Yarrowia lipolytica: one gene and its partners. The protein of the gene in region 1 purifies or fractionates together with the protein of each later gene. This does not show direct contact. Links are inferred from orthologs where the notes say so. Each region holds a gene or a part of one and is shown in the gene's direction. Other genes may lie near its edges.

Evidence for each region. The genes of interacting proteins can lie anywhere in the genome.
Region 2: the proteins of YALI1_F37508g (region 1) and YALI1_C01789g purify together in Saccharomyces cerevisiae (affinity purification with mass spectrometry; 7 studies listed by BioGRID, with this or other methods). This does not show direct contact. The link is inferred for Yarrowia lipolytica from reciprocal best matches to the Saccharomyces cerevisiae genes RSC9 and STH1.
Region 3: the proteins of YALI1_F37508g (region 1) and YALI1_F06670g purify together in Saccharomyces cerevisiae (affinity purification with mass spectrometry; 8 studies listed by BioGRID). This does not show direct contact. The link is inferred for Yarrowia lipolytica from reciprocal best matches to the Saccharomyces cerevisiae genes RSC9 and RSC8.

The regions. Positions count from the first base shown.
Region 1 is NC_090775.1:3,746,342-3,755,881, forward strand, and holds YALI1_F37508g (uncharacterized protein), read left to right. Parts: upstream 1-4,524; coding exon 4,525-6,339; downstream 6,340-9,540. Other genes in the region: YALI1_F37463g (uncharacterized protein), read right to left, coding at 1-23; YALI1_F37481g (uncharacterized protein), read left to right, coding at 1,833-2,030, 2,270-2,629; YALI1_F37498g (uncharacterized protein), read left to right, coding at 3,496-4,260; YALI1_F37528g (uncharacterized protein), read left to right, coding at 6,531-6,824; YALI1_F37540g (uncharacterized protein), read right to left, coding at 7,421-7,720; YALI1_F37551g (uncharacterized protein), read left to right, coding at 8,791-8,830, 8,882-9,081.
Region 2 is NC_090772.1:172,883-184,818, reverse strand, and holds YALI1_C01789g (uncharacterized protein), read left to right. Parts: upstream 1-5,468; coding exon 5,469-5,594; intron 5,595-5,892; coding exon 5,893-9,474; downstream 9,475-11,936. Other genes in the region: YALI1_C01847g (uncharacterized protein), read right to left, coding at 1-22; YALI1_C01843g (uncharacterized protein), read left to right, coding at 490-957; YALI1_C01826g (uncharacterized protein), read left to right, coding at 2,215-2,952; YALI1_C01810g (uncharacterized protein), read right to left, coding at 3,081-3,470, 3,679-3,795; YALI1_C01800g (uncharacterized protein), read right to left, coding at 4,102-4,782. UniProt on the Saccharomyces cerevisiae protein: Catalytic component of the chromatin structure-remodeling complex (RSC), which is involved in transcription regulation and nucleosome positioning. RSC is responsible for the transfer of a histone octamer from a nucleosome core particle to naked DNA.
Region 3 is NC_090775.1:662,894-672,580, reverse strand, and holds YALI1_F06670g (uncharacterized protein), read left to right. Parts: upstream 1-5,506; coding exon 5,507-7,225; downstream 7,226-9,687. Other genes in the region: YALI1_F06708g (uncharacterized protein), read right to left, coding at 1-1,699.

The DNA.
Region 1 (9,540 bases):
AAAATTCGAGGAGCTACCGCCATTGTGAAATAATCAATCAGTTAGTTACTGTACGGGAAAGAGTGAAACCTCAGTGGCACCTGCCGCCTTAAATATAACGGCTCGTTTCTGCACGCAGTAGCAACCCAAAGTGCGTTTCGTATTAAGTTGGTGCTAGGTTGTAGTGGATGATTCTGAGAGAGCGGACAAGTGAAAGCAATGGAGTGCTTTTTTTGCCAATACTGAACCTTCTCAAACTGTCGACGAGTCGCTTTCGGTGCAATTGATATATCTACTTCACGGTGGAGCTATGGTCATGACATTGCGGCTGGAGGGTCCTTCTCAAGAGACTTTTCTTGGTGCCTCCAACAGTGCACGTGCATGCGGGCTAGATGAGGTGAATGGAGTGGTTCAAAGTCGATGTTCCTGACGGACTAGAGGCGCCCAAATCGAAATATCAGTTCAATTGCACGTTTAAAATTGATTTTTCAAGTTTCAAGGGCCAATTCCCACTCATTCATCACTTTTATCAGCCTCCCACATGTGGCTTGCCTCACCTCAACCACACTTGCTACTATCAAGCTACATTGAGTTTAGGTGTGGAGTTTAACTATGTGTCAATGACTTCGTTTTACATACGTGACGAAGGACCCAGCAACACGTAATTGCGGCGCTAGCTTGGATGAAGGAAAGACCTCAATTGATTTATCCAGTCTCTGGGGTGCAATACATGCTGTTAAGCCCTCCCCGCAAACTGCTTCTCTGTACATCTACGCTGCAGATGTATGCAGTCCATGACGCCATCCACCGCTGGCTTACAACTCGTTTGCCACCAACTGCATGTGAAACGAGTCCGTGGTTTGCGCAGTTTGTCCAGGGCTGACCCCACAAACGGAGAACCAACCCAACATCTGGTGGACTGATTGGGAACCGTACGTACAAAAGGAAGGTTGAGGAGCATGTGATATTATGAGGGGTACACAGTACGTGGCAAGGATACAAGGATAGAGTGACTGACACGATTTCTACATTGTCCAAGCACACTTATTTTCTACAATACGATTCAGGCCCCTCATATACTCCGCAGTGATTCTTTGGATGCTTGCTTTTGGACGTACTAACTCCGCTTACCCAAAGTGCCATAGCCTTCAAGTAGTGCATATATAATGGAGTCGAAGAATAGGAAGATGTTGCTCACTTGTACAGTACCAGATGTGGGCCAGTGAATGGATCATTGAGGATATTTTATGTCTCCTTCTAAAGAATATGCTCACACTCCAATAAATTATCAACTATGGTTGGTGTACGGCTCCATGCCTGCTATAGTACGCACTGCCCGTAGCTAGAGGACTTCGATTGCTATAATTGCTTTAAATGTGGTTGGGGCAAGTTTCGAACCGCTGTGTCTGATTTATGTGAATTCAATTCGCATGTACGTAGGTGATAAAACCCGGTGCTTTTGTAGCTATGATTCAGCAGAAAAATGATTCGGAATTAATTGACGGTTCTGTGTTTTCATCTGGGCTCAATTCTGAAGGTTTCATCACTGATGATCTTTTGTTCAGATTATCAACTGTTTACTTAGTAACCGAAGCGTGTTTCTCAACAAAAAAACCCACTCATTATTAACCAGAAATGGAGATAAAAAGCAATTAATCTCATACTACGATGTCCTTCCATTCAAAACAGCAATTTTCTGATCCACTTCGAGATTCGGAATGCTTTTATATATGACATCTTCACTACCACCACTGGGTGACTAATCTGGAACCTTAACGAAAATATAAACTCTCAGACTCGCTGGTGAAAAATTCAAAAGCCTCGACAGTGCTACACATCCACCACAGATAAAAATGTCAGCTTTTGGATTCCCCGGCGGCGGAGCTCCCACTCCTCCCCAAGGCTCTTTTTGGGATATGACTCCCGAGCAGCAGGGAATGTACTCGGCCAACCTCATCATGGGCACCATGCAGTCGTGTCCCGGAAAGTCCGTCATGGCTGGTGTCACCGGTTTCGGACTCGGTGGTGTTTTCGGTCTTTTCATGGCTTCTGTGAGTATCAACGTGTGGGGATAAGGTGGATTTTGAGTGGTAACATGATCGGTCAGGATTTGGGGTCAGTTTGAAGTCAAGTAGACTATCAAATGTGGAGACTGGATCACACATGTTGAGTGCTTTGGTGTTTCATATATGCCCTTGAGACGCTCTGAGTACACTCCAAGCGTGTTATAGAGTCCATCGAGTCTCTATCTCAAGTAAATCTCTGCTACTTTCAACGAATACTAACTAAGATGGCTTATGATGCCCCCGTTGGAATGGGTGTGCAGACAATGTCCGATCTGCCCTTCAAGCAGCAGATGAAAATCCAGTTCACCGACATGGGTAAGCGAGCATGGAGCAGTGCCAAGAACTTCGGTTTCATTGGAGGTGTCTTCTCTGGAACCGAGTGTTGTATCGAGTCTCTGCGAGCCAAAAACGATATTTGGAATGGTGTGGCTGCCGGATGTCTAACTGGTGGAGGCCTGGCCGTCAAGGCTGGCCCCCAGGCCGCTCTTGTTGGCTGTGCCGGTTTCGCCGCCTTTTCTGCAGCCATCGATGTCTACATGAGATCCGATAACAAGGCTCCTCCTTCCACTGATGAAGATCTTTAATTTATTGTACATAGTCTAAATGTGAGAAGTAACTGCTCTTACTGCTAAGAGTGTAGGCTAAAGAGAAACTGGGCCTGAAACTGCCAGCAGATGGTCGCGGGGGATCAACTGGACTTATATGAGTATGTACTGTAGGCTATGATTCTGAGACAGATCTACAGGTACAGACTTGAGACTCAAGCAGCTGCTTTTTCAGAACATCGAAGCTTGAATTCTGCCTGTGATTAGAAGTTCCAATGTAAAAATCATATTACAATATGTACATACTGTACAAGCACTCTCAGTTCATTCCTATAACTCTCTGATGCGGCTAAAAACTCCCTTCTCTGAGACATCAGCTAATGAAAAGGGTTGCGGTCTATGAGAAGTCCCCAGCGGCAAATTATGAGTGAGTAATTCGGAATGATACAATTCTAATTGAGCTTGGTAGAGCTCTATTGGTATTGGAATCAAACAACGGAGACTACTACCCGACCCCCACACCCTACAGGTTCAACTTGCTCACTTCTACTGTTTATACTTTTAAGAGTTTCATTATTTTCAACCTGAACCAATGATCACACGTTCTACACCGAAGGAGAAAAGACATTTACAATACGGACGCATTCATGACACTCATAACTGTTCTTAAACCATTTTCTTATTATCCCACCCTCCTCCCCCATTCCTCTTCATGCCTCGGTTTGTGACCCGTTGAATCTCCGATGCATGAGACATGTATGATAGTGGGCAGATATATTGAGAGGGTATAGACGAGATTATTGGCCAGAAAGTCTTGGCAACGCTCGGATAATGCTAGTTACGGGTATTTAATCCGGTTTGTCTTCAGTCTTTTCTCTTCTCTTCACATTTCATCCCGTCATACCATGTCTCTCAGAAACACCACCGCTCTGATCACTGGAGGATCCGGAGGTATTGGATACAGAATTTCAAAGGCCTTTGCCAGCGCAGGAGCTCGAGTTATCATCCTGTCTCACAAGAAAGAAGAAATTGATACTGCTCTGTTCGCTTTACCTGAACGACTTGAGGGAGAGAAGCATCATGAAGGCATTGTCCACAACGTCACCTCGGAACAACCTCCTGCTGGAGTAGACTTCTCTGAAGTAGATGTTCTTGTCAACTGTGCCGGCATTTCTCTCACCGGTCTACTCTCAACCACATCAACTAAAGATATACAAAATGTTGTCAACGTCAATCTAGTGGGAACCATGTTCATGACCAAGTTCGCCATGGAAGCCTGGCAGAAAAGATACCCTGAAAGAGCTGCTTCAGATAGAAAGGCGGAAGGAAATGGCTGTATCATTAACATTTCTTCCATTCTCGGACTTAGAGCCGTCTCTCCTGGTTTGTCTATCTACGCAGCTACAAAGACTGCTCTTATCATGTTCACCAAGAGCATGTGTGTGGAGGGAGGGAGAATGGCTATCAGATCCAACGCTATTTGTCCAGGATACGTCAGAACTGAAATGACCAAGGCTCATGAACTGTCTTTCAAGACTCCTCTCCAGGAGTTTGGAGACACTGGAGATGTGTCAGTAGAGAGCATTGCCAATGCTGCCATGTATTTCGCTACCAATCCTCAGGTTAGTGGCTCAATCCTCAGTGTTGACAAGGGAATTTGCGCCAACTGAAGTAATCCGTTTAATTATATATATAATGAATGTTTATGATCCAGTGTTGGATCGGCTCGCGCGTATCATCCGCCTCAGCAACCCAACTAAAATCTAACTAAAACCCTAGTACCCCAGACTATACCCTAACCTCAATAAACTTGTACTGTCTAGCTGAGTCATCAACCATGCATCCTCCCAACACGCACAATAATTCGACACACCCAAATCACATCACCACACTCTAATTATCGTCAAGTTCAGACGACGGTTCAGACATCACCAATGTACAACGATAACATGCCCCGTCGCTCGACGCGTTCGTCGCTAGCAGGATCCCCTGGTCAGGTCTCGGGATACCAAGGAGGCTCTCCTTACGTTGATGGAGGTATGCCTGGGGGTAACCACGGTGGAATGGTCCCGCATCAGGGATCGAACCCCTACGAGTTTGTGCCGGTGCCTCCGGGTCCTCTGCCTGTTCCAGTGATGACTCCGACTGTCAACCCGCCCATGTTCCCTGTCAAAAGGCCCACGCCAACCTCAATCGCCAAGGCCAACGCTTTTGGAGTCGGCCACTTTGGCATTGATTTCCTCACACGTATCACCTTTTCGCTACGATCAGGTATCGACTCGGAAGTCGACTGGGCTCTCACAGCACTCGTCCAAGCAACCTTCAACGCCCCTGACCAGTTCAAATTCCGACTAAATGAGTCTCTCATCGCCGACCTGCTGGGCCGTGTTCTCAAGGCCCGGTTTTTGACCCACAAGGAGTCCGCCGACGGAGAACACGTCGGAGACACGGACGCAGATGATCGAGTGCATCAAAGTGTGCTAGATATCATGCTCATTCTGAGAAACGCCGCTCTGGACCCCGAAAATGCCCAGTTTCTGGCTACTAGTGACAAGGGTCTTGAGGTGGTGCTCAAATGTTTGCAGGTCTCGCCCTCCTCCCTCACATCCGAGGTGCTCAGCTATGCCGTTGACATCTGCGAGTCTATCTCGTTCTATGTGTCTCCTTCCTCTTACGACGACCCTCTTCTCCAGGCTGTGGCTCATCTGTTGGAGACCTCGTCTGACCGAGCTATCATAATCTCTACCACTCGAGCACTCACCCGAATGCTGGTCCATGAGTATCACGCCCACCCAGAAGCAGAGACCGAGCCGAAGGAGGACGCCTTCCCTATCATTACTCTGTTGGCTCGACGATGGCATCAGATCGTCGACAAGACTGTGCAGATGCTGCTGGTTGAGGCTGACGAAGAGCTCATAATTGCTGCTCTCGATTTCCTCTATCAGATCACTCGTCGAGGTGCATTTGTCACTCGTCTGTTAGAAAACAATTCGAACGCTGAGATTCTGTCGACTCACCTGGCCCGTCTGTTACGGTTCGAGTTTCCCCACGAAAAGTTCATTGACTACATCCGACTTCCCCCACGGGCTACTCCGGGCCCTGTAAAGAAGAATGTCCCTACGGTCGACTCGCCGGCCCCACGTCTTCCTGAGGATGTTCTGAACAACCTTCTGACGATGCCTGAGCCCCATCGAGCCAATGCATGGATGCGAGCTTCATACGAGGAGACTAGCGGAGGTGAGGTGACCCAGATTTCTCTGTGGAAGTCGTACGAGTCGCAATTTGAGCCCTACTGTAAGGAGGGCTCTGCTCCCGGCGTGCACAGACTGCTCCCGGCCGTGGAGTTTATCAAAAATGTCAACGCGGCCTTCACTCGAAGTGCCGCCATGGTTGTCAGTCTCAACGATGGAACCAAAAAGTTCATTATCAAGGGTATTCAACCCCGAAAGGAACCCGTGGACCCTGCTACCATCGATGCACAGAAGCGCGCGGAGTTTGAACACCGTCGAAAGATGGAGGCCAGATATGCCGAGTACGATCAGGCTCGACGATACAGACTGGACAACAAGAGTGGAGTGTCTCCGGCCGCTATTCTGGTCATGACTAACATTGCCAAGAGCGATCTGGGCAAACTGGCACTGACTCATGTGGTTGACAAGGTGGTGTATGCTGGTACTGTCAACCCACACATTGCCCAGTACATGTTCCCCTTATTGGGCGAGTTGGAGAATGTGAAGCCCGAGGCATAGATGGGTACAATATAACCAGGAATTAATGTATTTGTATTTGTATGATCCAGGAAGCATGGGACAGCTCATGTTCAGTTCGTGTGATGTAATGTAACCCCAACCCTTAACTTTCTAACTATGCGAGTGACCATGCATCAGCGACATAGACGTCATCATCATCACCTTTACATTCGCAATCGTCATTCTTTACAATGGGTAACTTTTTTGTGGATTTATGGGAGTCCATTTTTACCCCCGGCACTACTCCGACCCTGGTCAAGGCCACCCACGGCTCGTTTGTGCTGTTGATCCTATCTCTGCTTTTCCTCATCTGGAACGCTCTGAACATCCACACCGTGATGCTGCTCATCATTGCGCTGTGTTTGTGGGGCACTTTGACCTGGTTCATTTCCGAAGTCGCCAAACTCAAGAAGGAGGGTAAGCTCAAGACCGACAAGGAGCTGAAGGAAGAGGCCGAGGCCAAGGAGTCCAAGAAGGAGCAATAAGGAGCTACGGGAAAAAATAATGTCGTCGCTAGACCTGCCATGAGAGAAAGTGTCGCCTTGCACATGATACAGTAGTGTGTGCTTCAAGGTATCTTGTTGATACATTAGAAGATACACCTTACGAGCGCGCATGCTTAGAAACACAACTAAATTTCGTTTGGAGGACATGCTGTGTCTCCTTTGGGGAGAATGGATATATATTCAAGTATTGTATTTGTAATGAACTGATATATGTTGGTTTGTGTTCTGAAGAGAGGCACTTAAGACTCTACACATACTTACTTGTAATACTTGTACTATAGCAACTTGTGCCAGAGCATGTCCAATCACTATAAATAAGAATAGAATACCTATATCCGATGATGCAAAACTGTTAAACAAAAGGTGTGTAGCTCGTCACTCAAGACATCCAAGCTGGATCACTGGAACCGATCTATCTTCATCAAGGTCCTGGACGCCACCAGCACCGTTGACTGTGTGATACAACGCTGACGCTCTACCAAGTTCGCTCCATGATTGTTTGTGAAGAGAGTCCTTTGGTGACTTGAATCCCCATCGCGTACCGGGCACACACTTGACAATGACGTGAGAGCCCTTTATTTGGGTTGAGCGTTGGCAGCCTTCTTCTTCTTCTTCTCCTCGTCCTCCTTGTTCTTCTTTTCGATTTCTCGTCGGTTGCCCTTGAGAATCTCCAGATGGCCCACTCGAGAGGCCAGCAGCTTTTCCGTGGTGGCGGTCAGAGCTGCTTGATGCTTCTTCGCAATCTCGACGTCTCTTTGAGCGCTCTTTCGTCGGGGAGCAATCTTTCGGGGAGCGGCCCTCTTGGGAGCAATCTTGCCAGTGGGCTTCTTGACCTTGCTGGTCTTTTCTCTCTTTTTGAGACCTGCTTGGGGCATGTTTTGATGGTGCTATGGTTGATGTAGATTGTATGGTTATGATGTTGGGATAGCCATCAATATTTTTTTGTCGTGCATGGGGGGCGCCTCAATAGGGTTAGGGGAAGGGGAATCTGTGATTAAGATCGTTGGGGGGCTATGGGCATACAGGGGAATTTATTGCGTATCTGAGATGTTAGGATTATGAAAATGTCGTCAGATTTTCCTTTCTCAGTCGCCTGAATCGACAAATCAAGGTTGTGAAGTTTTTGCGTCCACAGTGTTAAACTTATCGTGTCTGATCAAGTTTTTTTATTCTGCATAGGCGTCAAAAAATAACGAATGGGATACTGGGGAACAACCAGTGATTTGACTTATAACATCAGTTGCTAGAGAAGACCAAGTACTATTTGTGATCAATTCGCCTCCAGGTTACAGCCTCTACCTGTCACGCAATATGTTCGAAGTACGCTCCCGCAGACCGGGTAGTTCGAGATGCAAGCTTATTGTACAATATATACAAGTAGAAGTATCGTGCTTGTACACCTACTCGTGCGATAGTCAGAATCATGACTCTCCGACAATACATATTGTACGATGGCATACCCCAACTTGTTGCACCCGAAAGACCTGTTTCAGACCCTTGTCTCAATGCTTGGACATGCCGATACATTTAGTCACTTCAAATAATGGCAAGTTTTGCGTGACACATTTCCCGCCAGTGATTATTACGCCGACCGATAGCCGCGCGTGGAAAATCGGCAAATAAAAAGATTTTTTTCCGATTTCAAAGTGGACCGAACGGCTCAAAGTCTGCTGGCGAGACTGCAAAACTCACAGCTCACAGGGTCCACGAGTCAGGCACATGTTACCCTATGTAAACAGGGTTTGCTGATTAAGAGCTTGCCACAACGTAGAGAAACAGGAGTGGATCACTACAAACCAAGTGTGTGGTAACCAAAATAATAAAAGGGCGTCTTACAATCTTGTATCAGCCAATCAAGCGTCCATAATTAGCTGACGTCGACATCGACCCACTGCTGTACAATTCTCCGTACTGTAGTTACCATACGGAAACTGAAGCATAAGATATGACCCACGAACATCAGTATAAATCTCCATGCTCTAGCCGTGCCTTTACGCTGTACTCGTATGAGTACTACACGCACTAGGGATACTCAGGTCCTGCCAACCTCCATCGCCACGCTTGCAATTGCAGCAGCGGCGTGCACCGAGTGTGGCCTGGGCTTGTCGCTTTGGCTCTGCTCCTCAGACGTTGCGCCTATGCCATGCCATGCTTCTTGTCTACTCAGTCCCCCTCGTTTGCCTCTCACAGGCAGTCTCTGAGTCACGTCTTGTGGGGAGAGGAGGATGTGTGGTGAGGAGGCTTGGGGCGTGTAGTGGGCAACGGTTGGCCGTGGCTGAGAATGCCAGGGAAGAAGAATGACGGAAATAACAACGTAAAAAAAAAAAAAGGACGAAATATGCTACCAAGAGAAAGAAGCACCTGGTGACACTCTCTCCAGCAGCTCCTAACGTCTTTGTCACTTTTGCTCAATCTCAAAAGCTGCTCCATGAACTATGAAGCTTAACATCATAGGCTCTTGAGGATGTGCCAAATATTATCAAAGGGTCCGGGAATAAGCGGATAGAGGGGGTGGTTGGTTGTTAAATATTACGTAATTGGATTTTTCACCCTCCAATCTCTTCGATCTGCCCCTTGGAGCTCACATCTTCCATTCTCTTACACCTCTTAATCCCCTTCATCCAACTCACTCACACTGTCTTCAGCTAACTTCAGAACCCTATCTGACCGATAAAAAAAATGTCCCAAAAATTTA
Region 2 (11,936 bases), on another chromosome or scaffold:
AAGGGGATATCGACCTTTTCATGGGTGCCTTGGGGGTGGAGAGTGGTACGTTGCTGGCGGTTCGTTTGTTTTCTGCGTCGCCTTCACAGGAACTTGTACAAGTACTGAGTGCTATGCCAGGCGATGGTGGATTTCATATACGGCTGTGGAGTGCCGCGCATATTAAAGTGTAAGAAAATAGAGTCTTGTAAAGAGAGTTTCAGAGTGTATGCAGAGTAGCAGAAAAAGCAGAAGATGGGACCTAAGACGTATATGGTGTAAAATGGGGTGCTCGTACTTGAGACTAGAACTATGACAGACGGAACACATTTACAAGACTCGTCGTTGTAGGTGTCTCCATGAAGTTAAACCGGCCTACCTACTTGCAGCTTCCACTCCTCTTCCCTCACCCCTCTCCCACCAGCTCCCACCAGCTCGTGTGTGTACAGTACATACTGATTTTTCTGTGCACTCATACTCTTTTTTGTCCAATGTTCGACTCTCGCTTGTATGATGATGACTCGTGCAAAGGTGCCAAATGTATATATGCACATTTTTGCCCGACAGACTCAACACAGCCTCAACTCAACGTTAAAGAAGGACTCTGGAATTGAACATGACGCGCGCGTGTGGCGGCTCATAAGACATAAGACATACGAAACCATCTGGGGACTATTTGAAGACTTATTGTGCCGTAACCCCCGGTCACTACTCGTACCAAGCCTTGCCAAGCTCTGCATACGACGACTTGTCTACCAACTCGACGGTGGGTCCGTGGAAGGTGTGCCAGTAGACTACAGTACATACTGTACGATACCATGCAACGACGGTACGAGTATGAGAGGTGATTCAGCAGCGCTTGTGGTGTCGCCAGGACCACTGTTCCTGCTCGTTTCGCGGAATCTTGTTGCCAGTCTTCAGTCTTGTCATGTCCAGTCGAGAAATAAAGTCGGGGCTGAGCAGCGAAGACGGTGCTAACAATTGGAGTTTACGAGCGTTGCTAGCGCGGTGTATGACCAACTCTAGAGTGAAGATAAGTATGGTAGAGAGAATGTTGGTGTGCGTGCATGCCTATATTATCGGTGTCCATGAACTTATCTCTTCTTCAACTGTTACAAGCAGCCAGCTACGATACTCCTCCAACTCTACGTTTATCATGACAGCTCGACTAGGACCCGCTTAGCCTACTTGGCTCTAACAGCTTAATTCCAAATGCACTGTCGATGACAGGGAGACGCTTACCACACTTGTACATGTATTTAGTGGAGGCTGTGCTGGACTAGACCGACTTGGGCAGGTGCGGAGATGGCGGTGGTTGGACTCAAACCGTCATGGCTGTCGAGTGATTTAGAGAACGGCATAGTGAATTGAGTGCAGACATACTGTACGAGTAGAGTAGTTACAGTACATCGTCGTGTTAAGAACAATGCACACGACGGTCTGTACTGTAGCTACAAGTACTGTAGTACAAACAAGACTTCCACTACAGTCACATCTCACACACTCACTCCTCGAATACTTGTTTCTACATCTACAGTCTCTTAACCGTCTCTCTAAGGTATAACTTCCGCTACTGTAGATACTCGAAATTAAGGACCACAACGCCATCGGTTCTAGAACTCGAGCCGCTCTGTCTTACAAGCGCATCTGAAACACTTAGTGCGGGAGTAGTGGGTTCGAGAAGTCTTTGTGTGGCTTCTCGAGTGGACGTGCCATTGATTCAAGGATCCACTTGGTGATCTCAGGGTGGAGGTGGTCTACTTGTAGGTTGGCTGTAGGGTCGAACGTCCTTGCCAGCAGATGATTATTAGAGAGACTTACTTGAGAAGGCAAGTAACAGGATATTAAAATTTAAGACAAACCAAGTACCAGTTTTGGTTTACTTGAAAAGTCAAGTGTAATTGTAAGTATTGTACTGCCAATGGTTCTCGTACCTCAACGCCATTCATTCAGCCAAATAGAACCAGTCTAATTAATCTTGCATGATAAATGTCCCAGGATCATCGAACAGCCACGTAGAATTGATATCAAAGTGTCGGCTGTACTATCCCTCTATCCATACTTGAATGAGCTCCTCTTTCACCCTAACCTTGAGATCATGCAGTGTGCAAGTGTGCTGCAAGTGGTGAGACCACTGATACCACTCTCATGATTAGTGCAAAGATCGGTGCTAAAAGCGCAAATTCGACACAAAGCAGCCACTCACGCATCTAAAACACATCTACAACAAGCGCCATGTCGTTAGAAGAAGAGGTGGAGACCATCGACGCTATTTTCCCAGACTCTCTCAAGGAGATTGGGCCTCGCAGATACACCCTTTCGATTCCAGATCGAAGAGCGCTGGTGCAGCTATCTTTCCCTTCAGCCTACCCAGACATCCTTCCAGAGGTGCAGTCGACTGAGCACGTGGACAAGGGGCTGGTGGAAGACATTTTGGCTCAGGTCTATATGGAGGGCGAGGTTGTCTTATTCTCACTGATCCAAGAGGTCCAGGAAGTGACTGAGGAGATCTCTGAGGAAGCCGAGGAGCCAGAAACACATCAGGATCACGACGAGACAAGCGCAGAAGCCAAGGCTGCCATTTTTGCGGGCTGGACCTTGTCGGATCCGGTGGTGGATCGAAAGTCCATATTCGTGGCTCATGCATTCACAGTCCATTCGGCAGCCGAGGCTGAGGCCAAGATCAACCATCTGAAAGAGGACAAGAAGATTGCCCGTGCCACCCACAATATCACAGCTTACCGCATTCTGAGGGACGCAGAAAAGGGTATCTATGCGCAGGACTGTGATGACGATGGAGAGGATGCTGCAGGAGGCAGATTACTGCATTTGTTGTCTCTCACGGGGGTTGAGAATGTGGTTGTGGTGGTCGCTCGATGGTATGGAGGCATCAAACTTGGTCCTGACCGATTTAAACACATTAATGCGGCTGCCAGAGATGCCCTCGAAAAGGGTGGTTATTTGAAAAAGTAGATAGAGCGCTTGCAAACAGGTCTGTTAGAGCTATGGGGACACCGTACGACTATGCCTACAAGTGTACCTACACCTAAAATCAATAATAATGCTTATATGTTACATATTCCGTTGCCGTCTACCATAGACTAATACTTCATCTTCTTCTTTCCCCCGTTATCTCCACCCTCAGAGGGCCGCTTTTTGGCCTTGTTTCCTCCAGACCCAGAAACACCCTGGTTCTTGGCGGCCGCTCGTAATAACTCGTGCTCTTCCTTCTCAATCTCGGCAGCCGACCGAGTGTCTTCCTTGGGCTTCTTGGTGTCTTCCAGATCGTTGAATCCTCCCCATGACAGCCGTCCCTTGGTATCTTCAGCAAGCGCAATGTCCGAGTAGCCCACGGAGACGATTTTGCGCGACTTTTTTCGGATTCGCGGCGCCTTGACACCCTTGACGGTCCATTTCGATGCGTCGTCAATCTTTTTTTGTGCCTTTTCCTCCTCCTTCTTCATTTCCTGATCAGAAGATCTTTGCATAAACTGCGTTAGTGGGTGGAAAAGAATGGATTGAATATGTGTAAAAGAAGTACTGGCAATTGAAAGCGTCTGTTAACCTGCAACAGTCACAACCCCATTTGATTCTCCAGGTCCTGGTGGCGTCGAAACTGCTCTGTTTGCTCTGAGCATCCCAGTTGTCATCCAAGATCATCTCCAGATCAGTCCGACACTCTCCTCACGTGATACTCACCTTCATGTTGTTCAGTTTACTACTGAGATGCGTTTTGCTCGCCGTAGGAGGCGCCTTTTTCATGTTGCTGTTCATGGCGGTTGTGTGGTTGGTGATGGATGAAATTGTATCATGCATGTCGAAGGATATATTTTCTGTGCATTTCCGAGCCGCACGGATGCCACAGTTGGACACAGTCCTGGAGTATGTATACTGTAGGCTGTAGATAGGAGGAGAAGTTTTAAAGACGTTGAAGATATCTTAAAAGGTGAATTAACAGGGGACATAGTCTACGGTCCCGTGATAATACCTCAGCAGCATATATATTGGTTACTAAGAGATGCAACACAATGTAACGTGAGGTAAGGTACCAATTGCAAGTACAAGCATGGACTGTAACGTATATTATCGAATACAGTATGTTTTTAATGCTGCTATATGCACCTATGCCAACGCCTCCAAGTCAACCGGCTGGTTATTCTTGTCCAGAATCTTACTGAAGAACTCTCGAGAGATCTTTCCATCCTTACCCTCAGTCAAGACAACACCATTTTCAGACAGGAAGAATTCGATTCCGGCCTCCAGAGCCTTGGGAACATTGATGTAAATGAACACCTCTCTGTTAAGTCGCTTTCCAGCCACAGAGCCTCCTTCGGTGACTAGATCGGTAGCCAAATGGATATGTTGACGTTTCATCTTGGACAATCCTTCCTTAAGTACAATGGGAAGCACCTGTTTCGAGGTGGCGTGGAAGATCTCAAGAGTGGGGAAGTCCTCGGGGGTCTTGAGAGCCTTCATCTCGACCTTGGTGTTGATAGTGTGTCCCTGGTTAGCTCTGATCCAGTATCCCGTGCAATCGTTGGGGTCTGTGGGTTCTTTGGGCTGTTTTTCTGTGGGCTCAAAGATGAGCTTGTATCTCTGTTTGTCGTTATCTCGCACAACCCGCTTGGTGTCTTCCAGGTTCCATTTCCCCTTGATTCCAGCTCTATTGAGCAGCACACCTACAGACAAGTATCCGTCTTCTCGAATGGGCAGCTTTTCCTTGGTGGCGCCGTGTCGCAAGATGTACGACAGTTTGCGAGAGTACTCCTCGTCAGGCGTCATTTCTCGTCGGGGTCGAGGCATTGTTGTTGGAGTGAACTGTGTGAAGAAGATTCAATTTAGATGCAGATAAAGATCCTGGTTATGCATGCAAATGTGACAGTGGGATACATGACAGAGCAGCATAGGTATGGGCGATATAGGACGGGGATGCGTCACGTGACTGATTGAGAAGTTGGCTTAGACCCCATTGAGGCCCCCGGGCACCTGTGTAGTGTCAAACGAGAAAGTATGAACGTTCCTTAACGAGGTGCTGTATGTTCCACTTCAGCTGAAAGATGAAGGCCCTTCAGTAATTAGTCTACAAGAGCACTGTTTTAACGTACATACTGTACTGGACCTACTCTGTCCTCCCCCCAAGTAAGTCAAAGCAGTGCAACAGGACATTTTAACACCATGCGGACCGTCTGAGTAAATATTTCGGCCGTGTCTGCCAGCCACAACCCGCTATTTCGACATCTTCCTTCTGACTGGTGCACCTTCATTCCAGCCAAACTTTCCAAGCATACTCACCCAAAGCGGAGTCGAACCGGCAACATCCATACCGCGCCGCGTAAAACGTGGTCCGAAACCGTGGGTGGGAGCAGATTAGACTTTGGTCGACCCTCACACACTTTCACCCACTGCTGTCGAGCGAAACTATCAAGCGTGTAGAACCGTGCGGTATTCGACGAAACCGAATCATCAACGGCACACACAGCACTGGCAAGATGGATCTCGAAAACGGGCATTCGCCAGCACCCAATGGCGGTGCTCTCAACGGCTCCGCCAAACAGCCCCACTATTATTCCATCCCCACCCCCGAGAGCGTGGAGCAGGCCCAGTTGTTGTTTTTGGTGAGTATCAGAGGAAGAGGAAGACAAGAGGAGGGGAGACAGACCCAACACGACGGACGGAACACCATCACGTGACACCGAGGACGTGACGACACCACGTGACATTGTCAGAGTGTGATTGTGTTATGGACACGACAGCCGACGTTGGACGGGTCGACACGACATTATCGATGTCATGGGTCATGGGTCATTGGTATCGTATCGTATCGTTGCACATAACGTGACGACACACGTGTCTCAACACAGCACAGTGTGCAAGTCTATTGCTTGACCGCCATCTATTCTCATTCTAACACAGCGATTCAATGCTCTTAATCAATCCGACCACCCGGTGACACCCGAACTCGAGGGCATCGTCACCCGGCTGCACACCATGGGCCAGGAGCAGCAGCTGTACAACAAGCGTCTGGCAGAGGTCAACAGCGCCCGAAAAGCCGCCCACAACAAGATCGACCTCGACCTGCTCCGAACCCAGGTCAACGCGTTCAGATACCTGAGCCGAGGTCTCGACATGCCCACCGACGTGCAGGAGCGCCTAATGGAGACGGTAGGCATCGAAAGTGACATCACCGAAGAGGAGGCTGACGCAGCACTTGAAAAGTCACTCACCCCTTACCAGCGACGTCTCAAGGACAGCGGAGTGCCCCCCCGAGGCGGGTTTGTGGACAACGGGCGGGGAGTCGGTGGACGACACGAGTTCATCATCACGAACCGAATCTCGCAGCGGATTCTGGAGCTCGAGTCTCTGCCATCAAACCTCGGAGTGTTGGATGCTTCCCGGGATGATCTCGGCAAAGCCGAAGGCACTGATGCGCTCAAAGTACGAGCTGTGGCCGAGCTCAAGGCCCTGCGGCTGCTAACCAAGCAAAAAAGTCTGCGGCAACATCTAGTCTTCTGCAAGGCCCAGACGTCCCAGGTGACCGACTCGGTCATCAACCGGGCTCTCAACCGACGAGCCAAGGTGCAGACCGCGCACGAGATGCGACTGACGGAGCAGCTAGAGCGACAGCAGCGCATGGAGCGTGAACGCAAGCAGCGGGAGGAAATCATGGCGTACGTCAACTCGGTGTGCCACCAGTCGGACCGAATCAGAGAAGAGGCCCATCGTCGACGAACCAAGCAGTACGCCGTGGCCAAGGGCATCCAGCAGTTCCACTCGTACGTTGAGCGAGAAGAGAGTCGACGAGTCGAGCGAACTGCCAAGCAGCGTCTGCAAGCTCTCAAGTCCAACGACGAGGAGGCCTACCTCAAGCTCCTGGACCAGACCAAGGATACACGTATCACCCACTTGCTGCGACAGACCAATTCGTTCTTGGACTCTCTGTCATCTGCCGTTCGTGCTCAGCAAGGAGAAGCCGGAACTCAAATGCCCATTCCTGCTGCGGAGGAAGAAGGAGGAGAGGGAGAAGAGGACCGCGAGAAGATCGACTACTACCATATTGCTCATCGAGTCAAGGAGACAGTCTCCAAGCAGCCTTCTATCTTGGTTGGGGGTCAGCTCAAGGAGTACCAGCTCAAGGGTCTGCAGTGGATGGTGTCTCTGTATAACAACTCTCTGAATGGTATCTTGGCCGACGAAATGGGCCTTGGAAAAACTATCCAGTCCATTTCCCTCATTACCTACCTTATTGAAGTCAAGAGACAGACCCGGCCTTACCTGGTCATTGTCCCTCTCTCGACACTCACTAACTGGACCAATGAGTTTGAAAAGTGGGCTCCCAGCGTTAAGAAGATTGTGTTCAAGGGTTCGCCCAACCAGCGTAAGGAGTTGTCCAACCAGGTACGAGCAGGAGACTTCCAGGTGCTGCTCACCACCTACGAGTACATCATCAAGGACAAGGCGCTTCTGGGCCGAATCCGGTGGGTGCATATGATCATTGACGAAGGTCATCGAATGAAAAACACCCAATCCAAGCTTGCCCAGACGCTCACGCAGTTCTACTACTCTCGATACCGACTCATTCTTACAGGTACCCCTCTGCAGAACAACCTGCCCGAACTGTGGGCGCTGCTCAACTTTGTGCTACCCAAGATTTTCAACTCGGTTAAGACGTTCGACGAGTGGTTCAACACGCCGTTTGCTAACAGCGGATCACAGGACAAGATGGAGCTCACGGAAGAAGAGACGCTGCTGGTCATCCGACGTCTTCATAAGGTGCTGCGTCCCTTCCTGCTGCGACGTCTTAAGAAGGACGTTGAGAAGGATCTCCCCGACAAGGTGGAGACCGTCATCAAGTGCAAGATGAGCGCTCTTCAGCTCAAAATGTACCAGCAGATGCTCAAGTACAACGCTTTGTACGTTGGTGACGATTCTGGCGCGGCTGGTGTCAACAAGAGCGGAGTCAAGGGTCTCAACAACAAGATTATGCAACTGCGTAAGATTTGTAACCATCCTTATGTATACGAGGAAGTCGAGACTCTTCTGAACCCATCACATGGCAACAACGACCTACTGTGGCGTTCTGCAGGTAAGTTTGAGCTTTTGGACCGAATTCTGCCCAAGTTCAAGGCTAGGGACCATAGGGTGCTCATGTTCTTCCAAATGACCCAGATTATGGACATTATGGAGGACTATTTGCGGCTCCGTGGCTTGCAGTACCTGCGACTAGATGGTAACACCAAGGCCGACGATCGATCCGAGATGCTGAAGCTCTTCAACGCTCCCGATTCGCCCTATTTCTGTTTTCTGCTGTCCACTCGAGCTGGTGGTCTAGGTCTGAACCTGCAGACAGCCGACACAGTTATCATCTACGACACTGATTGGAACCCTCATCAGGATCTGCAGGCACAGGATCGAGCACATCGAATTGGTCAAACCAAGGAGGTGCGAATTCTGCGTCTGATCACAGAGGATTCCGTTGAGGAGGTTATTCTCCAGCGAGCTCACGCAAAGCTTGAAATCGACGGAAAGGTCATTCAGGCCGGAAAGTTCGATAACAAGTCGACGGCCGAGGAGCAGGAGGCGTTCCTGCGAGGGCTGCTGGAGCAGGAGGAGTCTAAGCGTGGCTCTCGAGAGGCAGAGGACGAGGACCTTGACGATGAGGAGCTCAACGACCTGCTGGCTCGAAACGAGGAGGAGCGGGCTTTCTACGCCCAGATGGACGCCGAGCGGAACGCCACAAGCGATTATGGCAAGGGCGCAGGACGACCCGATCGGCTGCTTTCCGAGTCCGAGTTGCCGGACCAGTTCACTCAGGATGTGTCTGAGCATTTCCGAGAGGACGACATGGCCGACTCGGACAAGTACGGCCGAGGAGCTCGAGAGCGAAAGGAAGTGTACTACGACGACGGCCTCACAGAGGAGCAGTGGCTCAACATTGTGGACAATGACGAGGATCTGGACGCTGCCATCAAGAAGCGACGCCGAAGCCGACGGTCCCGAGCCCCCACTGATCTGGATGACGGTCTGGACGCCGATGATATCATCGTTGACGATGCCGATGGAGACGACCAGTTTGTCGACGAAGAGGCGTCTCCTCCTCCCAAGAAGAAGAACAAGAACAAGATCCCCAAGGTCCGGGAAACCTTGTCTGTGGCTGACCGGGAGGAGCTCAACGAGTCATGCCAGCTGGCTCTCAACGAGTGTTTTGCGCTGACGGAGCCCTGGGATCCTGAAGATGAGTCTGCGGGCCTGCGGCATGTGTGTGACCTGTTCCGGTCCATTCCCTCCAAAAAGCTGTATCCCGACTACTTCAAGCTCATCAAGAATCCGATTGCGCTTGACGTGATCCAGAAGAAGGTGAAGCAGAATGTGTACCAGAACCGGTACGATTTTGTGGCTGATTTCGAGCTCATGAACCAGAATGCTCGAACCTACAACGAGGAGAACTCTCCGGTTGTTACGGATGCCGACCGTCTTTTGGACATTGCCCGGGGTTAGAAGATATATAATGGGCAAAAAGGTCCCACTAAGCTGTATAATATGATGTGTTTGTTTATTACACAGCTGGAGCGAAGCTGTCTATCCGTACGTCTACTTGTAGTAATATCGCCTTTACCTTCTACTCAACGAAACCAAGCACTCGCAGTGTATCTATCGAAATTCGTCTCATTGTATGTTCTTGCCAAGGGCGCTCAGAAAAAGCGCCTCACAGCTAGTCTAGACAATTAGAGATTAGAACACACCCTTTTTTGCAAGTTTTACTACAGTACTTGTTTTGTCATGTGACATAATCTATGGAATATTCTTTTCAATCTTTTCTATTTCTCTCGCACTCAGGTCAGAATATTGTTGAGAGAGTCTTGTTAAAGGTGATACCCCGGACCAACCTGGTCAATTTCTCACATAGACATGAGAGGAACCAGCTTGGTCGTAGACAATGATGTCCATCCTGTAAGCAGTGTATCTGCCGATCTAGAATCTCTTTCTGGTGAATGAGCAAGCACACACTCTTCTGGTGTGTGCTACTATCGGAACGTAGGGTCCTGAAATGAGTTGTAAGCCGTTAACTATATATATCAATCATACTTTATAATTGATGTTCTGAGAATATTGCTGAAAAAAGAGGCATAAATGGACATGACACAATTTGGTTAACCGATACACACAGAAGTGTTGTTTCAATATTAATGTTTCAAGATACTCGAGTTTCTGCTTAGAAATGAGTGGATTCACAGTTAGGGACGTTGTTGGAGTTTACTTGGAATTTGGAACATTTATGCTGTGTGCGACATAAAAAAACATGTCAATCTAATATCTGGACAGAAAACTTAGCATATTCTAACAGCTATCGTACTGGTACACACTTGTACTTGTGCGTATTCCATTGGCACACGCATTTTACTCCAATGAACCTCAATTAGCTCGTCAGAGCTGGATCTATCGTGCCCTCTCATATCCGCCAAAGGATATGTGCTCGTTCTTGCAGTCTCGAGACTGATATATGTGGTTTTTTTTAGCAGACATATATGGTGTTTCAGTTTCTGCCGCTAATATGTGCCATCGCCGTACAAAGTACTTTTATTGCAAAAGTACAATTCCGATCCATTTTCATATAGCTCACATTGTGTACAAATGCAACACCAGACTTGTCTGTTTCATGTCCTGTCTCGTCCTTGTTGGAGATGTACTGTACCTGACCCTAGTCACGAGAAGCGCGCGATACGATAACTCCAGATGAGATACACTCGTCTAGACACGTCCAATACTGAGGTACGCGTCGGAAATAATACAGTACATTCTTGACAGGATTTGGTGACATGAAACAATGGGTCTGAAATGGGAGTACTTGGCGAAGGCAACTTGGAGTGACAGAATCGAGGCCCAAATACAGCGTCTTGTAGCTCCCAAAAAAGACCTTTCTGGACCTGGAACCGAGAATGCACACTTTTATTATGTCTGCGGGAGGAGACACATTTTTGGCAAGAGTAGACTACAGTAGCTGCGCATGTGCCCCGGCGTCTTGGGTCGAAAACAAATGTGCTCTGAAGCACATAGACAATGGATCTGTACGGGCTATGCGTATATCGGAATTTTTATTATATCGGGAATAGTGCAGTTTTGCCATTTTGCCAAGCCAGCCAGTTGGAGCGCGCAGATGTCAAAAAAGAGGCGTGCTGGGGTTGGCAACCCGCTAAAAAGGCATGGGGCGAGGTCATTCAGGGGTCGACGGTCTAGAGTCGAGGTTCCCGTGTCAAAATCGGACTAATATCTGACCCTTTGAGAGGTGTTCATTTAGGTCCCCCTTGTTGCATTTCATATCCTAACCTCGCTGCACAGCACCCGAAAAAGCACACAGCAGCAGCGTTGGGCCTTTGTCGGTGCCGGTACATACTTGTACGTCGTGTCTCTTGGCTCGTGGTCTACAGTGCCAGTATTATTTGAGAGTTTTGGTACAGTACCGTACGTATTGTCGCTGTATTTTATTATTTGCGGTGGTCAACAGAGCCCGAGTCGAGGTGAGGGGTTGCTGCCTGGCCGTGTATTTTCGACACTAATTACTGTACCGCCATCACTAGCTTGTTCGTCGACACGGCTTTTCCACTCACTTTAATTTAAGCCGTATTTTAAGCCATGTCTTAGATCCAGACGAAAAAACGGTCTACCGGACTTGGTACAGACCTTAAACCAGCCCGTCAAAATACCGGTCGAAATACAGTACATTTACAAAACAATATAGGCTAAAGGCCAATATAAAAAAGCGTGTTGTAGTTGGACACGCGTATTGCACGCCCACGTCCAATTGCTCGATATACCACGTACCAGTGCGTACATTGTGTACAGCGGACTGTGCATACACCAGGCGCTGCCGGAGGTTCGGTTTAATTACGTGCTTGTGCTCGGATGCAGGGGAACCAACGGCAGTCACCGTTCTTAGTTTACCGGCATGCCGAAAAAGGCAC
Region 3 (9,687 bases), about 3.1 Mb from region 1:
TTAGGGGCGCCGCTTTGTCGGCCGGAGGAAGCAACGAAGACGAGGTAGTTGAATTCACGTGCTTCTTCTTCTTTTTTCTGATGCCCTCATCTTCGACCTCAGAACCCCCCTCTTCATCGTCCTCCTCTTCCTCCTCCTCTTCTCCGTCACTTCCGTCCTCATAATCCTCTTCTTCTTCATAGTCCTCCTTCTTCTGGCGCTTCAGGTCTCGATCGACACTCTCGTTCGAGTCGTATCCATCATCGTCGGACCCCAAATCAGCGTCAAAAGTGTCAACCACGTCTTCCCGCACGATTTGCTTTCGGACCCGCTTGCCAAGAGGCTCGGGAACGATCTCGGGAGTGACCCGGTCTTTTTTCTGGGCCTTGGTGTTGATTGTCCGTGCATGACGTCGCAGGCGGTGCTCCAGAGCCTCCTGAAGAGGAGCCATCTGGATGTAAATCAAGTACTCGCGTTTGTCGGGCAGATTCGAATAGACTTCCGACTTGAGCCGTCGCAGCAAAAACGGCTTCAGAATCGAATGAAGAGTCTCCACCAACTCCGCCGATCGATTCTCGCCGCCAAACCCGTCGCCAGACCCGTTTTCTTTCTCGTCAAACCACGATTGGAACATACTGAGGTCGGAAAACACGTCGGGAAGCAGAAAGTTGAGAAGAGACCAAAGCTCCGTCAAATTGTTCTGCAGAGGAGTGCCGGTCAAAAGCAGACGATTCGACGTATCCAGAAGCTTCAGTTTCTTCAGAAGCAAACTGTTGACGTTCTTGATGCGATGGCCCTCGTCCACAATGAGATACTTCCACGTCATCATCTGCAGACGTCGGGTCTCCATCACAACCGTCTCGTAAGTGGTGATGACTACCGGGAAGGTCTCCACAAACTCGCCGTCTTTCCCACCCCTTTTTTTCAGACCCCTCATCTCATAGTCCACTCGCACACCCTTCCAAAGTGCCGCCCGCTCCTTTTTGTCGCCATAAAACTTGACAACGGGAATACTCGGTGCAAACTTACGAAACTCATTTTCCCAGTTGTTGAGCGTGCTCAGAGGAACCACGACCAGATAGGGCCCGCCAACCTGCTTCTCTATCAAGAAAGAAAGGAATGCAATGGTCTGAAGGGTCTTGCCCAATCCCATTTCGTCGGCCAGAATGCCATTGAGCCCGTTCTCGTACAACGACGCCATCCACTCGATTCCATGGATCTGGTAGTCGTACATGGACGCGCCGGTGATGATTCGCGGCTGGCCGATTTTCTTGAAGTTTTTGGATTTCTTGGACTTGTCCATTTCCTGAACCTCAGTTTTGGACAGAACCGCCTTGCGCCGGCTGGCTCGCGTCTTGCCCCTGGTGGCATTCTTTTTCTCCTCGAGCTTTTCGAGATTCTTTTGCTTCTCGCGCTCACGCGCCTCGCGGCGATCTTTGCGGTCTCGTGACGCTTCTTGTGCCTTTTCCTCCTCTTGTCGGGCGAGCTCCCGGGCTTCGCGCTCTTTCTGCAGCCGGTCTTGGAGGACCGAAGAGTAGACTTTAGACTGTTCCAGGAGATGCGAGATTCGGTTGAACCGGTCGGACTCGGAGAGCGAGGAAATGTCCACTGGGTTAGTGCTGTACTGAAGTGAGGCCGAAGGTCGAACGTAGCAACATGTGAATGCCGTACATGAAGTTGCTGTCCTGAATCGGTCGGATATAAAGGTCAAGGTCCTCATGACCCATCAAGGTGGAACAGGTGGACAAGCAACAGCCTGTAAACTCTGTCAGGGACTCGTCAGGGACTTGGTAAGACAGCTGTGGACTGTGACTACGATCAACTGGTTCTCTAGTCACTTGTGTCGCTGAAGAACTCCACGAGCCACCCAGACGTCGGTTATGGGCAGTATGTCTAGTCATCTCATTATGGGGATGAGTCGAGGAGCAGATGATCTCCTGACCAAACCTAGACCAATCTAGTCGCTGCAAAGTCCGTCGGCAGTAGTTAAACTAGTCAGACACCAGTCAGTCATAGTCCAATACTCAGATCGGCACCAGAATTCCACCACTGTCTGGGCACAGTTGCTACTGAGTAGTTTTCAGGAATGAACTTGGCCTTGATCCTCAAGGAAGAAATTGTTTTTGACAGTAGAGCCGGAAAGGCCTTGGCTATGCTCATTGCGGAGACTATAATCGGTCTCGCTAAGCGGCAAGGTCGTCTGCAATAGTTTCAGCCCAGTCTCAAAAAGTCATTCCATCGACCGTACGACAACAGTACAAAAGCAGCACACACCAGTACAATGGTCCTCTGAAGTTGTCCAGAAGCAGCTCGAGTTTCGAACCAGTTACTGAACTGTTCTGCTGCGGCCAGGGCCGTTCAAACAGTCAGTTTCAAGACCCTGTTTGAAACCGCGTCCGACGATCGCCCCCTTTGGAGGAATGTCGATCAGAGAGTCGTCGTCCGTCGCCGCTGTCGGTACTGCTGTCGGTACTGCTGTCGCCACTGTCATCACTGTCACTGTGTCATCATCAACCTCCTCAATCTCTTATCCCCCTACTCACTGTTATCAAATCGTTCACTGTCGCCTTTTTTCCTTTTTCCGTACTGTCTAAGATGCCGACGGCGCAGACGATGCTGGAGATGTCGTTATACCGCAAATGCTGACTGCGCAAGAAGCTGACGACCGGTGCTCGGTGCTCTATCGTGTGGTGTAACACGAAAATCTCAACTCTGTGACAAGGTAAAGTTTCCACGTGTGGCTACAGTGCCAAGATGTTGATATGAAGACTGCCAGAACAAACGACAACCAACACAACCCGGAATCGGGCGGATCCAGACGTATATATATTGTGGGTCTGTGTTTGTGTCACTTGCCGCATTGAGCGAAAAACGCCAACCACGTATTAAAGTGGGATTAAGTGGTATTAAAGTGGTATTAAAACTGTATTAAAACTGTATTAAAAGTAGTATTAAAAGGCATAAAAAAAGGCATGGAAAAAGACACCATAAATGCTCTTTACACAAACTAATTATCTACCTTTTTTTTTTCTTTTTTTTGGGAGGGTCATTTGATCGATATATTTTAACCCCCAACCCGATCTCCTATCAAATATAAATACCCGTCGATTCCCCGTTTTACTTTCTTTTCTTTCGTTTTTCTTTTTTTTTTTTTTTTTGCCCCCATTCATCTCTCCAGCTAATTACCACCCCCAAACCGCGACGCGTTCGAACCCACCTAATCAACGCGCCAAAAGATACTCTATTGAAAACAAGGAGAAGAAACCCGCTGCTGATCTGCTCACATTTTCCAACCACGCTCCTCGGACTTCACACGGGAAGCCGGCTGATCCCTCCTCTCAGCTCACGTGACGGAAAATAAAGTTTCTCAATCCAACCATATCACGTGGACGAAATTGGATGAGTTACCCGGCCGAACCACATTAACCCCCCAACCTGACCCGCGGAAATCCCGACTCGGCCAGAAATGGCTAGTCACGTGATCAGAACATATGGCTGGCGATCGGCTCGATGCGGGGTTCAGGATTCGGTATCTCTATTGGTACAGTAACCAGCCATTCACCCACCATGGAAATGAAAAGGTTCGGTTCAGGTTATGACGTGGTTGAGAGGGATACCAAAGGGGGCACACGTCCAAACTCGATCTCCGAACTCGAAATCTTCAATCGTACATAGGTTCTTATTCCTTTGTGTTGAAGGTCTGGGGAGAGTTTGGGTCACGTGATATCGTTCGTCATGTGTAGATGAACCGGTGTCGTTGAGCTGGGTTGAGCTGGTGTGACTTTTTTCTCCTATTACCCCGATTTTCTTCCGATTTCGATTCTGAAACGTTTTTAGTTGCAAGTGGCCATCCTGAACCCATTTTGCGTGTTTCCTTTCGTGATCTCGTTTTCGGCGTTCTGTCTGAGGGACCTCAGGTTTGACAAGACTATGGAAAGGTCAAGTTGGATGGATGAGACCAGCAACAGTCGAGTGTTTGTACAGAATGTTGAGTGCCATTCAGCACAACCTGTATCCGGTTCACGATATCCATCTTGTGTCGCTTTGCAGGCAGTGCCCAAGTCGGGTCAGGTCATGGTTAATCACTGGTTTTCAGGTCATTGGTCGCAAGTCTCAATCCACTGTTCTCATTGGTTCGACCAGCTGAAGAACTGAGGACATGACTGGATAATACGTGGTCCATGCCTGTGTGTGGATGCCATGGTACATTCGTATCAGCTTCATCACCAGGCATTGTGGCTCTATTCTGCAAACGAAACGAACAAGTGCTCAAATACATGCAGGTGGACTCTGTTGTCCATTCGTATTCTTGCTGTTCATCAACGAAACATATCTTTCTTCTTCGGTTGACGCGGTTTCAACCTCTTCCAGCCATTCTATCAGACTACCATTGGGTGATACACTCGCTCTGGATTACTGGCCATAGATGTCTTCTTGTCGAGAGCAACTTGCGTCGAGAGCTATACATGCTTACAAGACACCTTTCATCACTCTGAGGCCCAAGCACTCTCGGTCTCCTGGCAAGATATCGTCTTCGGACGTGGATCTCGGTGCGAAGATGAGCGACAAGCATACATTTGGCTCAAAACTGGCTCAAAACTGGCTTGTAACTAACTCGGTTGCCCACGCAGCTGTGTTAGCTCTGTGCGGAAGTTACACCGATCATTTGAGGAGGACAAGTTGATGGTTTCCAACCCATAGGGACCGTGTCTATACTGTGCTGTATTCAGTTGCTCTAAGTACTCTCATGCTTGAATAGACCGAGTGACGTTTCCAAAGAGACGGTTTTAGACGGTTTTAGACGGCCTCAGACATGCACGAGGCGCCAGAGTCTCATTTCCACCCTCATGATGCGGTTTCACACAGTCTTTTCAACAATCACCCTGCTAGCAGCAACCCATTCTCTCTTCAAGGGGCTATTTCCAGACCAGCAAATCGTCGCCTTTTTGACCGAGTCTCCTCGTTGACGGACCTGCTCTGGAAACAACCCCTTCCCTTCCTTCTGCCGGCTCTCCTGAGCCCGAGTTTTCTTAGCCAGCTCCATAACGCTTGCCTGTCGCTGGTAGACGGATGATTCATAGTACAGTATTAATCAATGCATTCTTCAATCAGAGTGAGTAGTATGGAGAACGTCGCCCGAGAAGTTGCATTAGGGACATCAGAAGGGACATATCTGCCTGAAGACACATACCCTCACGTCAATCATGGTCACGCCAGTGCTCTCTAGTCGATTCGGAAGAAAAAGAGGAAAAAACACTGCAGCTTGGATCGCTCCTTGTATCGCTCAATTGAGTGACTGAAACCGTTCATCGAAAGGTCCAAGCAAGTGGCTATAGTCATAATCTGACTCCATTACGTACTCTCACGTGATCTTATCGTCAATAAATCACAATGATTTATCCCGGAATCGAACCCACAACCTCACCCACATCTCACCCTTCACTCCCGGGTAAAACCTAGTTGACACCTTCCTCCCACACCGTAGATTGGTGATATCACCTACAGCACGTTTCCAGCACAGTACAAAATGAGCGACAAGAGCGTAGAAGCCGGAGCGGACGCGGCCATGACCGACGTGAACGGCGATGGGTCGATTGGCGCCCAGACCGCCAAGATTGAGGCCAACGACGCCGATCTGAAGCCCGACAGCAGTGAGGTTGGAGGCGCGCACAACGACACGGCTCAAACAGCGACCAAGTCCGACAAGAAAGACGACACAAAGCCCAGCGACAAGGAGGAGTCCGTGGAGGGCGGCGGGGACGACGCGGGAGATGCGATTTCGGCCGAAGAGGCGAAGCTCGAGGAAAAGGCTCGGGCGTATCTGGCGGAACAAACACAACGGGTGGTGATTCCGTCGTTTGCCACGTGGTTCGACCGCAACGGCATCCACGACATTGAACGCAAGTCGCTGCCGGAGTTTTTCTCGGGCGTGTCGCGCACAAAGTCGCCGGCCATCTACACGCAGTACCGCAATTTCATGGTCGACACGTTCCGTCTGAACCCCGTCGAATACCTGACCTTCACCGCCTGCCGACGCAACCTCGCCGGCGACGTCGGCACCCTGCTGCGGGTCCACTCGTTTCTGGAACAGTGGGGCCTGATCAACTACCAGGTGGACCCCGACACCCGGCCGTCTCTGATGGGCCCCCAGTTTACGGGCCACTTTAAGGTGATGGTCGATGGCCCCCGGGGACTCCAGCCTTTTGAACCTCCGGCAAAGAGCCTGCTCTCCGAGGGCCAGGAGGACCCCGAAAAGGGAACCGACGGCGACTCCACCTACGTTGCGACCTCGACTGAGCTTGACGACTCCACTCCCCCCTCAATCAACATGGAGATTCGACGAAACATCTACTCGTCGGCCGCCGACGCCGCGTCGCTGCAGGACGAAAATACAAAGTCGCAGAACGTGCTCGCGTCCAAGGCGTACCACTGCCAGACCACCGGCGGTGACGTATCGGTGGTGCGGTACCACAACCTGCGGTCCAAGCAGGCGGTGGCGCAACTCGCGTTCGAACAGGGCCTGTTCCCGGCCACCCAGCAGGCGTCTGACTTTGTGCGCATCAAAAACTCGACGGCCCAGGGCCCCTGGACCGACGAGGAAACCCTCTTGCTTCTGGAAGGCGTGGAGATGTTTGAGGACGACTGGGACAGCATAAGCGACCATGTCGGCACCCGTCAGCGTGACGCCTGCGTCATCAAGTTCATCCAGATGCCCATTGAAGACGCATACCTGGTGAAGCGAGAAAAGGGCGTCAAGCGGGCCCATTCCGACTCCAACAAGTCCACGGTGCTGGCATCCGCCATCAAAAAGGTTCTCAAGGAAGGAGACGGAGAGCTAATGAGCAAGCGGGCGGAGGAGCTAGCTGGCCAGGCCGTCTCCGACGCCTCCACGCTCGTTTCGTCGCTGGCCGAAACCCAGATAGCCAAAATCGAGCTGAAAATGTCCCGGTTCGACCAGCTGGAGGAAACGGTGCGGCTGGAGCGCCAAGAGATTGAAAAGATGCGGCAGCAGCTGTACCTGGACCGTTTGTCGTTGAAGAAGCAGGCCGACAGTGTGTTGGCCAAGCTCAAGGAGGCGACCCAGCTTGGGGGCGACGAGGCGGTGGCGGTGGCAGCAGAGGCGGCTCGAATCGCCGCTCGCAACCCCAAGGTGAGCGTCGTTGAGGAGCGCGATGAGGGCGAGGTGCGAGAGAAGAAGCCGGTGTCATTGGGAGGACCTGAGTTGTTCAAGTTCTGGAGTGCCTAGACGGGCATTTCCTTAGGGGCTTGTCCAGAAGGCTTGTCCGGAAGAGTCTTGACGAGAGTGATCTTGTCGGGACGGTCCTCGTCGCATTTTCGTCTCGACACGACTTGGAATTGACAGCCTGCTCGACATACCCACAACCACCCTAACCCAAAGACGGAGATGTATGTATTTGTAATTGTATTGCTTAGTATGGATATAGATTGGTAACCACAACAGCATGGCCGGTTGTCGTGATCTCTTTGTCCCATTAAATCATCACCAACGTGGAGTGGTTTGGATGGACTTTGGACTACCTAAATTGACAATTCGGGATAATGCTACTTGTATGAGGATATGGAGTGTGTCATTGAAACTTGCGAGGCTCCAGCTTTCGATTGGTGCTGCTTTTATTGAAATCTGACCAATATTGAGAATTCATGATTTTCTAACGAGATACTTGAAAAAGCAGCAGTTTGAAAAGATCCAGAAGTAGTCGGTTTTTTACATACAAAAGCCCAGGAGTAGCTGTTTAGTTTTCTGCGGATTACTAAGTAATTAGTCATCACAACTCCGCTGTACTGGGTCCCTGGCTGGACCTGGCAACGCCCCAATGTACACTACCGAATACGACTACCGAATACGACTACCGAATACGCTTCGCAAAGACGAAAAACGCACATCCAGATGCCTACAAGTAGTCGGATCAGAAGTAGGAGCTACAAGGAATCATTCGCATCAGGGTGAAACCATATTGCTGCTTCATATCGATGAGACCAGCCGGTTTCATGATTGCCACTGAAACGGTTTCCTAACGGAAATAAATTTACAAACATCGTCATATGAGGTCCTTGTCTCAATTCTACTCGAAGTCATATTCCAATCCAACTGGTTCAGTTTTGATCCGATCGAAATGAAACAGGTAGAGTCAATTCACCAAGGACCCGATTCTCCACTGCAATTTCTACAATACAATATGTTTATGATCTGTGCTTTTTATCCATTCAACGTTGACGTAATCTAGTCACAATTGTGTATAATGTAAATGCTTCGAGACCCGTCACAAATTCTGAAAAAATACATTGACAGTTCTTCGATTGTCTCAGATACCAGGTATCTTCTGGTACTACAAACGTGGCAACTGGGCTCCCAAACGTAGCTCTGTGGTCTGAGGCATTCGGTTCAGTCAGACTTTTGAATGTCTCAATGTTCTCCAGCAATCCTATCAGCCCAGGTGAAGAAACTCCCATTCGTTTTGACGACTGGGGTAAAATACAAGCGAATATGTGGGGGCATCACGTGATTCCGTTTCAGCGTAATTCAAGGCATTTTTCTAAACATGTCTTTGGAGTAAGGACTATGTTAAAATATCTCTTTTTCTAGAAATACCGCGGAGAAATTGAGACCACTGTTGGGCTCTCCTCGTCTCGGGCTTTCGAACCATGTATATTTATCTTCCCTTTTCGCCTATATTCGCCAACTTGACTTCCTCCTGTCTTGGCCTTCTGCAAGAAGAGAGAGAGAGACTGCCGCGGAAGACGCCAAAACGGCTCAAATAAATTGTCACTTTGAGCGTCTTTAAATCAATTAATGTTTCGACAATGTGGAGAAATGAGAGGTGAATTGTAGAGATGTAAAATGGATCTAAAGCGAGCGACCGATTGACGGTTGATTTTTGCAAAGGTAGCATAAGGTCAAGTGTTCAACACATGGTCGAAATACCCCCCGCTAATCCGCTTCCTCGTCGAGTACTCGACAGTCCCAATCGATCCAACACACCATGTTTACTCACGTGACAAATTTCCAGCTTGTTCTGAAATACCCCGGTTCAATCATCCCAAACATATTGTCAGACCACCTCGACTTGGCTCGACATGCTGCCCCGTCTCCTATTCTGATCACGTGACTACCTTACGCGTCGTCGTCACCTCTTTTCTTCACGTGACTTGGCTGCTGCTGCAGTTGCCGATCTGTTGATCGGAATATGGAGCAATGGTGATGGAGGTGAGAAAGGAGGCCTTGTTGTTGAATGTGGATCCTAGTCAGAGGGAGGAAACGCCTTATCACGTGACTTCCAGAAACAATCGGGAAGGGAAGGTCTTATCACGTGACCACCTTTAGTTTGGGTCACGTGACCGGGGGGCTGCTCCTTCCTTTACACCTTTCGGCGCCGGTTCGGGTCGCTTGTTTCGGGTCGCTCGCTTAATAAGCTTCTTGTGCATAAACTCAATTTACTTAAGACGTGTCGAACGCAACGGCCCTTGTAATCGGTCGCGTTATCAATCTTGTCTTCACGCGAACGACTTTAGAGCGACACCAAAAACCACCGCGGGTCTTTTTCCAGAGGCCTTTTTATCGACAGTTTCATCGCCGAGTTCCCACGACGACATTTTTCTCCTGATTCGAGTGATATTCTCGCCTTGAGTTCGTCGAGATCATTTTCCCCCCCTGTCCCGGTTCGAAATATCGCCACAAGTCGACGAATA